Chlamydomonas reinhardtii: one gene and its partner. The main gene of each other region encodes a partner of the protein of the gene in region 2 in a complex. Links are inferred from orthologs where the notes say so. Each region holds a gene or a part of one and is shown on either strand. Other genes may lie near its edges.

Evidence for each region.
Region 1: CHLRE_12g514700v5 (region 2) and CHLRE_14g608800v5 share a complex: the UniProt entries of both Arabidopsis thaliana proteins name them as parts of the SGR1-CCE-LHCII complex. The link is inferred for Chlamydomonas reinhardtii from reciprocal best matches to the Arabidopsis thaliana genes PPH and NOL.

Annotation. Positions count from the first base shown.
Region 1 is NC_057017.1:173,709-181,276, forward strand, and holds the start of CHLRE_14g608800v5 (uncharacterized protein), read right to left. Parts: upstream 4,900-7,568; 5' UTR 4,762-4,899; coding exon 4,395-4,761; intron 4,158-4,394; coding exon 4,089-4,157; intron 3,719-4,088; coding exon 3,657-3,718; intron 3,189-3,656; coding exon 3,103-3,188; intron 2,882-3,102; coding exon 2,764-2,881; intron 2,373-2,763; coding exon 2,338-2,372; intron 1,924-2,337; coding exon 1,797-1,923; intron 1,544-1,796; coding exon 1,435-1,543; intron 1,209-1,434; coding exon 1,063-1,208; intron 714-1,062; coding exon 669-713; 3' UTR 1-668. Other genes in the region: CHLRE_14g608850v5 (uncharacterized protein), read left to right, coding at 5,638-5,946, 6,443-6,609, 7,170-7,416. UniProt on the Arabidopsis thaliana protein: Required for chlorophyll b degradation. Chlorophyll b, chlorophyllide b, pheophorbide b and pheophytin b can be used as substrates. Belongs to the chlorophyll catabolic enzymes (CCEs).
Region 2 is NC_057015.1:3,710,731-3,718,241, reverse strand, and holds CHLRE_12g514700v5 (uncharacterized protein), read right to left. Parts: upstream 5,191-7,511; 5' UTR 5,025-5,190; intron 4,798-5,024; 5' UTR 4,786-4,797; coding exon 4,745-4,785; intron 4,542-4,744; coding exon 4,502-4,541; intron 4,297-4,501; coding exon 4,179-4,296; intron 3,993-4,178; coding exon 3,845-3,992; intron 3,542-3,844; coding exon 3,464-3,541; intron 3,190-3,463; coding exon 3,096-3,189; intron 2,940-3,095; coding exon 2,911-2,939; intron 2,755-2,910; coding exon 2,595-2,754; intron 2,422-2,594; coding exon 2,270-2,421; intron 2,046-2,269; coding exon 1,589-2,045; 3' UTR 1,013-1,588; downstream 1-1,012. Other genes in the region: CHLRE_12g514750v5 (uncharacterized protein), read right to left, coding at 272-364, 437-583; CHLRE_12g514650v5 (uncharacterized protein), read left to right, coding at 5,534-5,845, 6,795-7,025, 7,153-7,308. UniProt on the Arabidopsis thaliana protein: Alpha/beta hydrolase dephytylating specifically the Mg-free chlorophyll pigment (pheophytin), yielding pheophorbide. No activity on chlorophyll. Belongs to the chlorophyll catabolic enzymes (CCEs).

The DNA of each region.
Region 1 (7,568 bases), on a different chromosome or scaffold from region 2:
TATCCCTGATCCAACACAAGAATGTGTGGAAACCATTGTGCTGTATCACGTGCCGCGCCAATATTCAGTCACACGGCCCGCCTGGGGGACGCCGTGCCCCAGCATCCCCGCCCCCAGCTGCGCCACAGCCGTGGCCTGCCTCAGCCAGTCAGCCTCCCCCAGCCCCTGGCCTGTCCTGGCCTCCCGCTCCCCCGCACGCCTGCACTGCACGGTACACGGTACACACAAGGCCACGGCCGTGGCTCCACGCAGCAACCCCCTTGCAACTGTCGCCTCTACCTGTGCTGATTGTGCTCCGCTGGTTTGGTTCAGTTTGGGCCGGTATTTACGCCGCCGCCGCTCCCGTCACTGGTTCCCACTCGCTCGTGGGTTTCTGGGAATACGCTGCACAGTACGGGACCACGCCGACCCGCCCCTTACCCTGCCTCATCGCCCCCACTCCCCACCCCAGCTCATCCACGACGCTGCCGCCGCCCTTTCCCCCGCTCATCTGGCCCCCTCCATCGTCCGCCACCGGCCCCCGCCCTCGATCGCCCCCTTTCCCGTCACGGCCAGCTCCCTCACTCGGCAGATCCACTCGTCCGCCTCACTCGGCCGCCTGCCCCACTCTGCCGCCTCACTCTGCCGCCTCACTCCTCCGCCTCACTCGGCCGCCTCGCTCTGCCGCCTCACTCCTCCACGTAGCGGCTCTTGCGCGAGCCCGTCAGCAGCCGCTGTCAGGCGGTGCGGGTGGAGGGGGGGGACGGGTGGGCGTGGGGGTCAGCGAAGGAGGTGGAGGCGGAATGGGCGCGCAGCTGTTGCAGTTAAAGTTCCCGCCCCATGAGTCACGGGAGGCATCGTTGAAAGCCGGGGGCCGATGGTATGCTCTCCCGACACGCAAACCATGTGCCGAGGATTCAGCAGTTTCTCTAGGGTCTTTCCCCGTACATGGGAAGGGCACACTCGGGTAGCCTGCCAAACCCGTCCGCCGGCGTGCGCCCGCCCTCAAACCCATGCCTTCCCCGCCCCCCAACCAGCCCCCTCCCCCGCCCCTCCGGCACAACCCTCCAGCCCACCACTCACCGCCGCCACCCGCTGCAGCGCCTTGCCCTGTGTGAGGAAGCGGATGTAGACCGGCTGTAGCGCGCCGGTCAGCGGGCTGGCGGCTGTAGCAGGCACGGCCCGGATGCGGGGGACCAGGAAGGAGGCCACGTCGGCGGCGGGCTCGGCTGTAGCGGGGGACCGGAGGAAGGGGGAAGGGAGGAAGGGGAGGAAGGAAGGGATGGGCAGCAGAGGGCCGGGTGAGTGGCGGTCCGCGATTGGTTGGACTACTTGCACTCCATTGCGCACGCCAATACACACACCTTTACACACCGTCTTGACATCTGATGCACCTACAAAGACATCCACCCACCCCGCCCCAACCCCCCCCACACACACACGCCCCACACGCACCCAGGCAGTTGATGAAGAACTTGGCGGTGGGCGTGTTGGCGCCCGCCATGAGCAGCTCGGTGGTGACCATGCCTGGCGACAGGTTGTGCACAGCCACATTCTTGATGCCCTGCGGGGGGTGGGGGGTGGGAGGCAGAAGGTGTGTGTGTGTGTGTGTGTGTGTGTGTGTGTGTGTGTGTGTGTGTGTGTGTGTATGTGACACGAAGGTTGAAAGGAGGCTTCCGTTCATCTAGCTGCGCGTAGTATGAAACCTCCTACAGCCTCGCGTACACAGGCCCCTCCTCTCCCCTCTCCCCTCTTCCCCCTGGCTCCCCCCCTCTCTCCTCTCTCCCCTCCCTCGTTCCTCCTCCCTCCCCTCTCACCAGCATGCCCAGCTCCGCGCTCAGGCTCTTGCCCAGCTGCGCCAGCGAGCGCTTGGTGGCGCCGTACGCGGCGAAGCGCGGCGTGGCGTTGCCGTCCGCGCCCGCGCCGTCCATGTTGAAGATGTGGCTACGTGGGGGGCGAGGGGGGTTGCAAGGATGTTTGGAAAAGCGGTACAGGATGCACTGAAGACTGCAGACGAAGTCGTTACCACATGAGCGGCCGTCCGGGCGGCCGCGCTCCAGGGGGGGGGGGAGTGGGGTTGTGTGTGGGGGTGGGGGTGTGGGGGTGGGGGGGGGGGGGTAGCCATTCATGTGAACGGTTCAGGGTGTCGGGTGGGTTGTCAACTCCAGCATAAGCTAAACCAAAGCAAACTCAGCTAGCGAGTTACAGGGGGAAAGGGGTACAGGGAACCAGAAGGCAGCACGCAGGCATGGGGCATTAAGGTTGACTGGTAAATCGCTCTGCATGTGCGTGCACGGTGGGCTAACCCGCGCGGTGGAAGCTGGCCGTGCCGGCGCCCCCTCCCCCGCTGCAGCTCACCCGTGCGTGCTCTGGCTGCGCATCACGCGGATGGCCTGCGGGCAGAGTACGACACACACACGCCGTACACGTACGCATACACAGCGTGGTTTGGCAGGTCCAAAGTCCACTCGAGCCCCCGCGCCCCGTGCTTTGTCTCGCCAAAGGCGGACAGCCAAAGGGAGGGATGGCGAGCAATGCTTCTGCATCCCCTGCCTTTTCCTTCCCCCCAGCTGCCCCCACCCCTAGCCGCCCTTGTCCCGTGCCTCCCTTCACTGGGGGTGGCCCATGTAAGCCTGATGTAAGCCCTTCCCATGTACCCTGTGCTCTGCTAGTTTGGCTTCTTGAGAGTGGGCTGGTATTTACATCCCGCCCATCCCACCCCCATCCCACCCCCCCTATCCCATCCACCCCATCCCACCCTCACCCCTCACCCCCCCACCCCACCTCCTTGCAGCACAGCATGACGCCCAGCACGTTGGTGCCCACGATCTGACTCAGCTCCTCGTCGGTGGACTCGGCCATGGGGCCGTAGCGGTAGGCGTTGGTGCCGGCGTTGTTGATCCTGGCGGGCGCAGGAGGCGGGAGGTGGAGGAGGTGGGGGTGGTGGAGGTGGGAGGTGGGGTTGAGAGGGCGTGTCGGCACAGGCGACAAGAGGGAGCGCCCTCCCCTCCAGGCAGGCAGGCAGGCAGGCGCTCCAGCACAGGCTCCGGTTCTCGACCCCCCCTCCCCCCCCCTCGTCTGCCCGCCTGCCCCCAGCCCTCCCCCAGCTCTCCCCCTCAGTACCAGATGTCCACGCGCCCGAGCTCCTGCGCCGCAAAGTCCGCCAGCTGCCGCGCCTGACCGGGGGCAGACACGTCCACCGCCAGACCCTGCAGGGGTGGCGGGTTCATAAGCCACGCACCGTTCATGTTTCCAAAAACACACATACATGCACACGTACCCAACGCGTTCCCCTCCCTTGCGCAATCAATCGGACCGCATGCATCCACACTCGGGGATGTCACGACCCGACAGCCCCGCATGCAGCCCCCCTGTGTTTCGCCCCCAAGTCTCCAACCCTCAACCCCCACCTGCCCCCAGCCGCTTCCGGTTCTAGTCCCTCCGTGGACGGCTATTCCCCCCTGGGATTTTATCATTGGGCCCAGATACATAAACCCTGTTGGGCTCGGGCATAGAATCCCGCTTCGTGCTCTGTGGGCTGGCTGGGCCTTGCTTTCGTCGGGGTTAAGAACAAACTACCTCCCCACCCCAGAATTAACTAACTTCCACCCCAGTGCTCCCACCCCCATGGACGGCAAACCTCCCGCCCTCCCCCCAAAACACCACCGCCCCCTCACCTTGACTCGGTCAGCGCCGTACTGCGCTGCCAGCTCAGCCACCGTCTCAGACACCCGGTCACCTTGGGTGCGGGTGTAGAGGCGAGAGCGCGCAGGTGGTGGTGGTGGTTGTGGTGGTCAGGTCGTGGTGGTGGCGGTGGTGGTGGGCCCACATGCACCCGTGCAGGCCCTGCAATAGCAGACCAGCGGACCGCCCGAGCTCCGGAAGCCCTCGACGACCGCCTATTCTTTCTTCACTCGTGGGATGGGCGAAAGTAACCCCCTTGCGTTCTGGGTTTTGGTGTCTTTGGGACTGGAATTAACTAACCCTGTGCACCTGTCGCCTGTGCCTGTACTGCGCTAGCTCAGTTTGGTTTGGTCTCCTCCTCGCTTTTTATCGTTGGTTTGGGTTTACGTTGGGTTGGTTTCCCACCCACCCACACCCCGCCTCACCGGTACGGCTGCAGACCACCACGCGGTCGCCCGCCCGCAGGAAGTCCTCGGCCAGCGCGCGGCCGATGCCTAGGGCAGGGGGGCAGCAGGCAGGGGAGAGCGGACTGGGTCCACACAGACACACAGCGATAATGCGCATCCTCAAGCCCACCCTGACAGCCCCTTCGCCACCTCGCCACCTCTCCGCCACCTTTCCCCCACCCGTCCGCCACGTCTCCACCATCACCCTCTGCAGCCCATTCGCCACCTCGCCACCGCTCCGCCCCCCGCCACCGTCACCCTCCCCAGCGACTGGGTCGCTCTCACCCTTGGTGGAGCCGGTGATAACCACGTTGTACGGCGCCTGGGGCGCAACCGCCTTGCCGCCACCGTTACCGTTGGTGGCGGTTGCGGGGGTGCCGTTGGCCGCGGCGGTTGGCTTCTCGGTCTGCTGGGTGGCCGCGCGCGTCACCGTGACGCTGCGGCGGGCGCGGCGTGCAGCCGCGCTCCCGCCCTGCGCAAGCCCGCGACGCGCGGGCGAGGCGCGGGCAAGTCCTGCGGCGCCGAAGCTGCTGGTGCTGGCGGGGCCGCCGCGTGCGCTAGCCGCAAGTGATGCCACAGCGTTGGGGTTGATGGCGCGAGCAGTTGACGCGTGAGCCTTCGCGGCAACGCCCGAGCGCTGCGATAGCATCATGGCTAACGGTACAATTGAAATGACGACTGGGTTGGATCGCTGGGGTGGTTGGTCACGCACGTAGAAGGAACAAACAAAGAGCGAGTAGAATCCAATAGAGGGCGTTGATAAGCAGACCGAGTGCGCCAAAACGTTACCACAAGTTCGTTTATAAGCCAACGAGTTGGCACGGTGAGGCAAGAAGCCCAGATGGCTGAGAGCGAGCGAAACCTGCATGATGCAATCGAGGGCCCCTGCTGTTCTGACCTTCCCTTCCTTTCCGTAAGCGCATTTGACATACTGCTTCTCATTTCTACCCGTTGCGGGAAGAAATAGCACGGGACAATACAACAAACCGCGTCCTCGGGAGTTTGCGTTTCCCAGACCTGCGATCCTCCCGACTGTTGATATTATTCAGCATTTACATACAATAAAAGCGATTAGTGCAAACTGCGTTGCAAGAGGAAAAACTTAACTTGCGCGCAGTGGAGGGATCTGTGAGCAGCACAGCGTCTCGCGCTCACCGGCTTGGTACGTGCGGCTTGTATCTTGGGAGGGTATGTTTGTGAGGCTGGCTGGGGTGAGCCATATCGCTATCATGCGTTGCCTTCCGCTCGGACACCTCTCCGGGCTCTCCGTCCATGCCCGCCGACCCTGACACTGCGCGACCGCCCGCCCGCATTCCTCCCGCCTGCACAAACGCGCCTCTTGCAGCCTCTGTGTGCGGCACAGCTACTACACAGGCCTGCCGCGGCACCACCGCTACGGAGCAAGGCGGCTTGTAGCGCCACACCCAGCTCTTTCCTTTGTTGGCACCACGGCACAGACCCCAGGCACTGCGCATCCATCTATAGCCGCGCACAGCCACACAGCACTACAGACTCACCAGCAGCAGCAATGGCGGCCGCGGGCGTGATGGAGCGCGTGGGAGCGGCCCTGGCGGCGGGCGACTACGGCGGCGTGTGCGGGCTGCTGGATGAGGCGGAGCTAGCCGCGCTGGCGCCCTGGGGCGCAGCTGCCGAGGGAGGAGGCGGCGGACCAGCCGCGGGCGGCGGAGCAGCGGGCGTCGCTGCAGGCGCCGACGGCGGCGCTGCTGCGCCCTGGCCTGCTGCGCTGCACCTGCTGTCGCACGTGTATGCGGGCAACCTGGCGGATGCGCGGCTGCTGCTCAAGCGCATGCCCGAGGGGGTCAGGGCCGACCCGCAGGTGGGCCGGCGGTGGTGGTGGTGGGGAGGTGGTACTGGTGGTGGTGGTGAGGAGCTGTCGGAGGCGGTGTGGAGGGGCTGGGGGTTGTTGGCACACTGCCCATGAGGCGGCTGGGCGGCTGGTGGTCTGTTGGGGGCGAGCTGGGGGGGGGGCTGGGGGGCTGGCGTGTGTGCATGCCCGGAATCCGTTCTTTGCTCCACAGCACTGAACTGGCGGGCAGGGCGAGCGAGGGGAGTTGGGCGTGGAGACGGCGGCGCAACCCAGTCCCTGCCATGATGGGCGGTCGAGAGCAGCGCCAGGGGCGGACAGAGTAGGGGCACGTGTTGCCGTCTCCAGCTTTGCACCGCCATGCGACGCCGCCTGTACTTCCTGTTGGCCAAAGCTCACGCGCCCGCAGGGCCTGTCTGCCCGCTCCTGTGCATCCCAACGCCCCTGTGCCCCCCTCACACGCCCCTGCCGCCCCCCCCGTGCGTGCACACACCCGCCTCCACCCCAGGTGGCTGCCGCGGCTCGGCTGCTGCAGTGCGCCTGGCAGGGCAGCGGCGAGGGCGTGTGGCGGGCACTGCGCGGCCACCCCTGGTCGGGGCCGGCGGGGCAGCTGGTGGAGGCGCTGGCGGAGCGGCTGCGCGCGAGGCAGCTGGACCTGGTGGAGCAGGCCTACAGGTGAGGGGGGGCGGCGGTTTTGGGGGGGGAAGGGTTTTGTGGCCGAGCCCAATAGGGGGACCAAGGCGGGGGGTGTAAATACCAGCCCAAAGCAAGTTGAACTAGCGGAGCACAGGCAGAGGCGACAAATGCAAGCGGGACTTCTTATGGGAGGGGGCCGAGGTGTCGTGGAGCAGCAGGGCGAGGGGCACCGCGGGAGGGGGGGGGGTCCTTTTCGCCATCCCCATGAGGGGGCGAATTTAGAGCGCAAACTGTGGTGGTCAGGCGGCTGTGGGCGCTTGGGGCGGGCTGGGGTAGGCTCGGAAGGTGTTGAGATAGGGGGAGGGGGAGGGGTGCAAACAGGGCGGCGAGGAGGGGTGTACGACGTGTTGTTGTCCGTTAATGTGGTGGTGAAGGCGTGTGGGCGGGTTGCCGTGCTGTGCTGCTGTGGCCGCTGGGCCGCTTGTGCACGAACGCCGGTGAGCCACCATCACAATGCACCGCTCACTGCTCACGTGCACTCCACATCTCTCACACGCGCCTCCCGTCCTGCCCATCGCCCCTCCCTCCCACCGCCGCAGCCACATCAGCGCGGCCCGTCTGGCGGCCCTGTGCGGCTGCGGCGAGGCCGACGCACTGGCGGCCGCCGCCGGCCGCGGCTGGCGGCCCGCTGCTGCTGCTGCTGCCGCTGGGGGCGAGGCGGGGGCTGCTGCTGCTGCTGCTACTGCAGTGGTTGTGGAGGTGGTTCCTCCTCCCTCGGGCCGGGGGGAGCTGGACACGCTGGCGGCGCTGGAGCAGCTGTCGGCAGTCATGATGCAGCTGGAGTAGGAGGGGGGCGGGGAGTATGGCGAGGGGGATTGAGGTGGGATGGGAGGAGGAGGGGTTCGGTTGGGCGGTGTGGAGGCAAGGAGCAGGAGCAGCAGTAGCGCGCGGGTGCTGGATGTGCGGAGGGCGAGGTGGAGATAGAGGCGTGGAGCTGC
Region 2 (7,511 bases):
GCAGTGAAAGATGGAGAGAAGAAGATACAGGTGTGCCCGGGCAATGAGGGTCGTGAACAAGTCGATTCGTGAGGAGCTCGCCCGCCGGTGCCTTCTTCCTAGGAAGGGTGTTGCACCGCCGCTATGCGGGCTGAAACCTGCCTAGAGGCCCGCCCAGGCAGCCCCTCGCGCCTGGTCCTGAGCCATGAAGCAATGCCTCCAACCAATGTGCGCCCCGCCACCGGGTGTTGGTATGCAGCCTAAGGCGGGCTGCCGCCCGGGTGTTACTCACCGGGATGCCACGCATGCCGCCGATCGCCATATCCACGGTCACCTCGCCCAGCGACTTGGAGCCATGGCCCTTCTTCAGGGCCTTCAGGCGCTCCTGCACGGCCATACATCACGCGTGATGAGCCCCGGGTTTGTGGGTTGCAAGGAAGGCTGGGGCAACCCGCACCTGCTGCGCCGGAATGAGCTCACGAAGCGCCTGCTTCAGGTCGGTGTTCTCGGTCGACGAGAACTGGCGAATCGAGTTACCGACCGCACTGATTGCCTGAATGCCCAGGCCTGTTAGGCCGAGCTTGCTTGCGGCCGTGGCCAGCATCGTCACGCAGCGATTGATTGACGCACAACCTTGCAAATGATGCGAGGGGATACAGGCACGGGCCAAGTATATCTAGAGTAATGCCAATTGATACAATTGAAGCCTGCTGGGTTGAGTTAAGGGTTCCGGGTTCTCATGCAGTTCAACTCCCCGCTGTGGTTTTCGTCTGCGCAGCTGCGGATAATCATGAAAAGATCAAGTTCGTCTTCTTGTTGCAGCTTCCGGGGGCCCATGCATCTCCGTGTCAGCAGCCGAAGTAGGGCTTGGAGGGCCGGGCTTCTGACTCCGCGCGAGTAATGCGTAATGCGAGCTCGCGACGGCGTCTTGCATTCGCATTCACTCGCAAGCACTTCGTTAATGCCTGGCTGGGGGCTTATGCAATGCGTGTCCGCCTGCCCACACTACCCAGGGGTGCCCAATTACGCAGGAGGGGCAGCCAGTTAACGAGCCTCACGACCGCCTGTTCAACGGTCCGCCGACCACCGGGGCACGCTTCGTACTTGAGCCAGCTTCCCTGAGCTCGTAGTAGTATTTACGCACCCCTCGCTACATGATGATAAGCCACCTTTGCAAAACCGCTGCACTGGCAAACAGCGCACTTGCGCAGACTCGCTACAACTCGCTACAAGCGGCACGGCAATGCACACACGCAAGCGTGCTTTGCAGAGCACCCCGATGTCCTGGATTGGCGCGCTGCTGATTGATCTTCCATTTATACCATGCTCATACTTCTTTTTTGCGCACACCAAGTGTATACTGTAATTTCGACAAATAGAGTGCAGTGCCAATACGACCTTCCTGCGCAACGCTCTGCAACGCCGACCTCACACTGCTCACACGATGCACCCGCGTGCACGAGCCACTCACTGTTCATGCGGTACCCGACCAACGAACAGGATCCTTTACACCGCCACAAATTATTATTGTATACCTCCACCCAACACGGCAAGCATTTACAAGACCACAATGCACGCGCCACAGGAACACGGTGCGGTATCACTCCCATCACGCCGCCGCGCCGCTGCTGCCGCTCCCACTTCCCCTGGCACTGCCGGTGCCGCTGCTGCCCACGGCCCCGAGCGCCCTGCCCAGCCACATCCACACGGCGTAGTCCAGCTGCTCCGCCACACTGCGCGGCGAGCCCTCTATGTGGCTGATGGTGATGTGGCGCCCGTCCGCCTCCGTCACATCCCAGCTGGAGTGCAGCGGCAGACCCATGCGCGCCCCCACCACCTCAGCCGGCTCCCGCAGTGGCGTCGCCACCGTGTCGAGCGTTGCCACGGGGCCGTAGCTGTAGGCGGCTGAGGCCCCGGCTGCTGTCGCTGAGGCGCCGGCGCCAGCTGTTGTGGATAACGAGGGCGCAGCCAGGGCGAGCTGCGGCTGTGGCCGGGCCTCCTGCGCCGCCACCCACGCCCGCAGCGCGCGGTTCACCGCCGCCGGTGTCTCGTGGTGCGGGCAGTGCCTGAGTTGGCAGCAGATGCACAGGAAGTTTGGTAGGGTGCACCAGCATAACACGACGACCAGGGCCCTGATTATCCATGTACGCCCCCACGCGCAGTGTCACCGGCGCTCCCACCCAGCCGTCTGCGTCCCAGCCGGTAGCGCACACCGCGGATGCACACACGTGACACGTTCTAGCTTGCAGCCCCGCACCCGCCCCGCACATTCACCCACACGGCCACGTACCCTGCGGGGCTGAGCTCCAGGTACATGGCCTCGGGCAGCCGCCGCTTGAGGCGCTGCCCCCACAGCGGCCGCACCCAGGGGTCCTCCTTACCGTACAGCAGCAGCACGGGGCAGGCCAATCGGTCCAGCAGCTCGTCGAACGACAGCTCACCCTGGGGAGAGGCAGGCAGGCAGGAGAGTAGTGGCGGGCGGGAGGGAAGTCGGTCTCAGTCGGTCTTGGTCAGTCTTAATCGGTTCTTCTCAATCGATGCTGGGGCAGATGGCAGAACGTCCCCACATCATTCACAGAAAAAGCAAAAGAGGAGGTAGCATGCGGGGCTCTCACCTTGGGGCTGAGCACGATGCTTGTGAATGCGTCCAGTGCGCCCGGGTGCTGTGTGGCCTCCACGATGCGGCTGATGAGCGGCGGGTCGGGCGGGCTCTTGTCGGCGTACACCAGCTGCAGCATGGCGCTGATGGTGGCGGGCGAGCGCAGCGTGTCCCACCTGCAAGCACAGGGAGGTGATGGAGGCGGCGGCGGTTGAGATGCATGCGGCAGGTGTGTTTGCGTGGAGGTGTCAGGTAGGACAGCTGAAGCGCAGCGCAAACAGCGCTGTGTAGATCCATGCGGTGTGCTCAGCGGCTGAACGTCTCGTGCTCACCAGTAGCGCTCAATGACGCTCTTGAGGGACTGCGGGGCAAAGGGGCAGCAGCACAGCGTATCCCTGTCAGCACACGAGGCTGCTGCACGTCACTCCACACCACACGTCGCCCATGCAACTCGCCCGCTGGAGCCTGCCTCTCTCTACCGTACTGCACAGCATCATCGCGGCATGGCAGCACTCACGTGGGGCACGGGCACGGAGCCGTCCACCGCGCGGTCCAGTGCCCGCCACAGCCAGCTGCGCGCCTGGGCCGACGCGCGGGGCGGCCGGAAGGCCCTGCGCAGTCGCATCGCCAGATGTTGTGCTGCGATATCCTGACAGTAAAAGGACTAGCTAGCAGATGAGAGACCATCGTTTCCACCGCACCGCACCACAGCCAGACACCGCGTGTGTGTGTATCAGGAACAGCACAACGCAGAAGGGGGGTCGACGCCGCGAGTGCGTGTGGCGCCAGCACCGATTGCATGGCCCAATGGCTTCAAGGAAGTGCCAGGTGTGGATTCTGTTCTCACCGCACCAGCCCGCGCCGCCATGTGCCCCCGCTGCTCACCAGAAGGGCGTTGCGTTTAGCAGCGTCAGCCCCTTGACCAGGTCGGGCCGCCGAGCGGCCAGCATTACGGCCAGGTAGCTGCAGGCGGGGCAGGGAGAAGGCAGGTTCAGGCATGCCTCTAGGGTTAGGCCATGGCAGCGACGGAACGGGGCCGCGGCCTGTCATCCCAAGCTACAGCAACCGCGACCAGAAGGACCCCTTGGCGAGACTGCGAGCACGCTGTGTGTGAGCGTGCACGCGGGCCAGCAAGAGCTGGGCACTGTGCCCCTGCCGCTCACAAGCATTCCTATACAACCTTCACCGCCCTCCGTTGCCTGTAACCCTCTTGGGTTAGTTTGGCTTTACGGTAAGTAATCCCGCCCCCTCGCAGCGCGTACTCACCCTCCGAGGGAGTTGCCGGCCACGTACGCGGGCTCTCGCACCACCTGCTCCAGGAACGCCTCCAGCTGCCGCGTCCAGGTGTCCACGCTGAAGAACAGCTTGCCCGCGGCGTCCGAGGTCGACACAGGCTGGGCCGGCCAGCTACGGCCTGTGGCGTGTGTGCATACGCGTGTGTGTGTGTGGAGTCAGCAGTACGTTGACCAATGGTTAGCACAGGACTTGGTGATTGTTCGAGTTCAAATTATGCCGACACCCACGGGGCGGACAGAGCAGGGCCGGACACAAGTGCAAGCGATTGTCCAGCACCATATAAAGCACCCCTGTGCGCACTCACCCTGCCCCAATAGGTCCACCGCCCACACGCGGTGGTCGTGCTGCAGGTCCTCCCAGTTGCGGTGGAAATGCCAGCTGCCCACTCCAAAGCCGTGGAGCATCAGAATGGGCGGGCCGGACTGTGCGCGGGGGGGGGGGGGGCGGCAAGTGGTAAATCGCAGGGTGTGGGTAGAGTGCGTTCACCATTGCAATCAGGATTGGGAGGACGAAGGGGCGGGGCCGTCCGTGAAAGATGACGGGAAGGCTGCAGGGATGGTAGTGCCTCATGACTTATGCGACTCAGTATGGTGAGTTCGTGAGTGGAGTTCCCACGCAACCGCGCACCTCTCCCTTCTGGCGGTAGCATATTTGAGAGTTGTACTCCCTGCAGCAGGCGCGACGCGGCGGTTGCCCAGGCGTCAGAGCGTGAAGGCCGCGAAGGCAAGGACCTAAACCCTGACACGAAGATTGTGCCCGCGCTGCAGAAGGCTGCTGGCGTTTGCGATGCACTGCCCCCAGGGGCATCCGGCTCCACGCAGTCAGCCGACCCCGAAAGGGGAGTTGCGCGGTGGGCGCTCATCCGCTTACCAGTCGAAGTACAGCTCCTCGCCCCACTCCCCAGTGGACATGGTGATGGGCCGCTGCACGTGCACGTCACAACGCACGGGGGGCTCAGGTCCTCTGCGCCAGGACTGTGGAGCAGTATTCCGCTTTCCCCTTGAGCTGTCAACCGTCCCCAGATATTGGTCCAAGCCGTGACTAGCTGCATCTGCTCCGCTGACGACACCCAGGAATTGTTAAAGCGACCACGCAACTGCTTATGTCCCAGGCAAGCGCTGTTTCAACGCAGCACTCGGCAGAGACTCACCTCCTCCCTCCCGCTCGTGCTCGTTCCTGCAACATCTGTATGCGCCTGTGTCTGGTTGGAGCTAGCTATTTGCAAGCGTTTTAGGAGAGATCGTGCTTGCAGTGGACGAAGAACTGAGCTGGAGCCGTGTTGCGCCAGTCGCTGGTCACAGCCCCTAGCTGATAGCGCTTGCCTCATGGTTGCATTAATATGGCATTGAATGAAAATACTAAATACCTGAGCAGCGACAGAGATTTTCGTGAGTCCCAAATGTTCCATGCCCATTGGTTTTCTTTACCATCGCCCGCTGCGCGAGTAGCTCAATGCCCAGCCTTATAAGGTGAAAACAAGCTTTACTTCTTACCTTTGACGACGCGTTCAAACGACCTGGTGTTGTGCCGCTTTCTAATAAGCTTTCCACTCGTTAGTTCATGTTGCCAACTTATCAAAACAAGATGTGTTAAATACAGCTCTTCGCGGGGCGATATCCGGTCAGCCCCGCGGTCGCGCATGTCTAGCAAAGTGAGCAAATGAGCCGGCCAACGAGCAGGCAGTCAGAAAGCCGGCCCCAGACGGTTGAGGCCCAGCCTGGTGCGGGGTCTTTGCAGACGGTCCCGTCACCAGCGCGGCAGGCATCGAAAAATGGCAGTCGCCCAGCAACGCGCGAGGCTCCAAACACCGCCAGGGGGGACGGGGAGACCCTGGGCGTCGTACCTTCATGCCCTGGGAGGCTAACGGATGCTTACGACGTCCAGAAACCCGTGGGGAAAGGCGGCTATGCGGTGGTCTACAAGGGCATCCGCCGGGACGACGGTCGCGTGGTGGCCGTGAAGAAGGTCGAGGTGAGCTACTCGCTGGGCGGCCTGGGCGTGTTTTCCATGGAAGACCTCCGACGGGAGGAGAGCGGACCAGGGGGCAGTGTTCCAGGCATAGTGCGCAGCTTCACAGGCGCTGGTTGGGCGCTGGTGTGCCGCTGGGGCCAGGCCGGGTTACGGTTACGGAACGGCAGGCGTGGGCCCCAACAGGCGGTCAATATGATGGCCGCTCGTGCAAGCGTGCCACGGACATAGCCGACAGCCGCTCAGCAGTGACAATCCACGTGCAGCAGCTGCACGGCCACCCGCACCGCTGAGCTGCGGCGGGACGCGGGCAAGGCGCAGTACGGTGGCGGCTGCTGGCCGTGGGCTTGCCTGGGGAAGCCCGCCGCCGCAGCTGGTGGCCCCAGGCGCAGCCGCACAGACGCAGCTGCGGTGGATCTGGGGATGCGCGGGTTGCAGGCGCAGCGGGCCACAAGCCAGTCGGCGAGTCGGCAGCAGCTGGCCGCGCAGCCACTGAGGGCTCCAGCCGACGGGTCTGTACACCGCGGGCCACACAGTCCGGCTGGGGTACTGTGCTGATGGATGGCAGGATGGGACGCAGTGGTCGTGGGCCGGGCCTGTAAACCCCGCCTAGCCGCTGGCAGCGCAAGCTTCCACGCGTTGTTTTGGGTTGAAGTCATCCAGGGCAAGGGCTGCAGAACAAATGTCCGCGGCGTCGGCGACGTCCTTCTGTGCCCATTTACCCACTGGGCCGTAGCTGCTTGCAAAGCTGCCAGCAGCCTCACAGCCTCATCGACCTGGGAGAGATGGCCTTGGCAGCTCATGGAAAGCAGTTGGGCGCGTGTGTATGACACCCCGCCGCCCACTCCCTTCCGATTCCCTGGTCATGTGCCATAACCTGTCCACCTTCCCATGCGCCCATCAAGCCCCATCCCATGCCTGCACCCCTCTCTCTTTCTTCAACTGCACACAGATCTTTGAGATGAGCGCCAAGAAGCGCGATCGGTGCCTGCAGGAGGTGACGCTGTTGCAGCAGCTGGACCACCCCAATATCATCCAGATGCTGGACGCCTTCATCGATGAGAACATGCTCATCATCATCTTCGAGTGGGCGCCTGCTGGCGACCTCAAGCGCCTCATCAAGAAGACAGCGGAGCAGGGCAAAACGCTGGATGAGCCAAGCATTTGGACGCTGTTCTACCAGGTGGGGGCAAGGGGCCTGAGGGTTCAGGGCGGCTGGTGCTGAGGTGGGGTTTGGGGCCAAGCCGGGCGCTCCTGCATCCGATGTGTGCTGACACTGCTCTGCCCGCCGTCCCCGCTTGCACATGCAGGTCACGGACGGTCTGCGCTACATGCACCAGCACCGCATCATGCACAGAGACATCAAGCCGGCCAATGTGCTGGTGGGCGCCAACGGGGCGCTCAAGCTGGGGGACCTGGGGCTGGGCCGACAGCTGAGCGAGCAGACGATGGAGGCGTTCTCCAAGGTGCGAGAGGCGGGAGGGCGTAAAGCATTCATGGGGTGGTTGGGCCTCAAGGAGTTGGAAAAGCTCAAAGTTGCATAAACCCACACAAGTCGGATCACTGCGTTAGGAACCTGTCAGCGCAGGCAATGCAAGTGCGCGAAGTTGGTCCGGATCAAACCTGCCGCGCCGAGCCCTCAACACCTCCGCCGAACTTCCTCATCCCT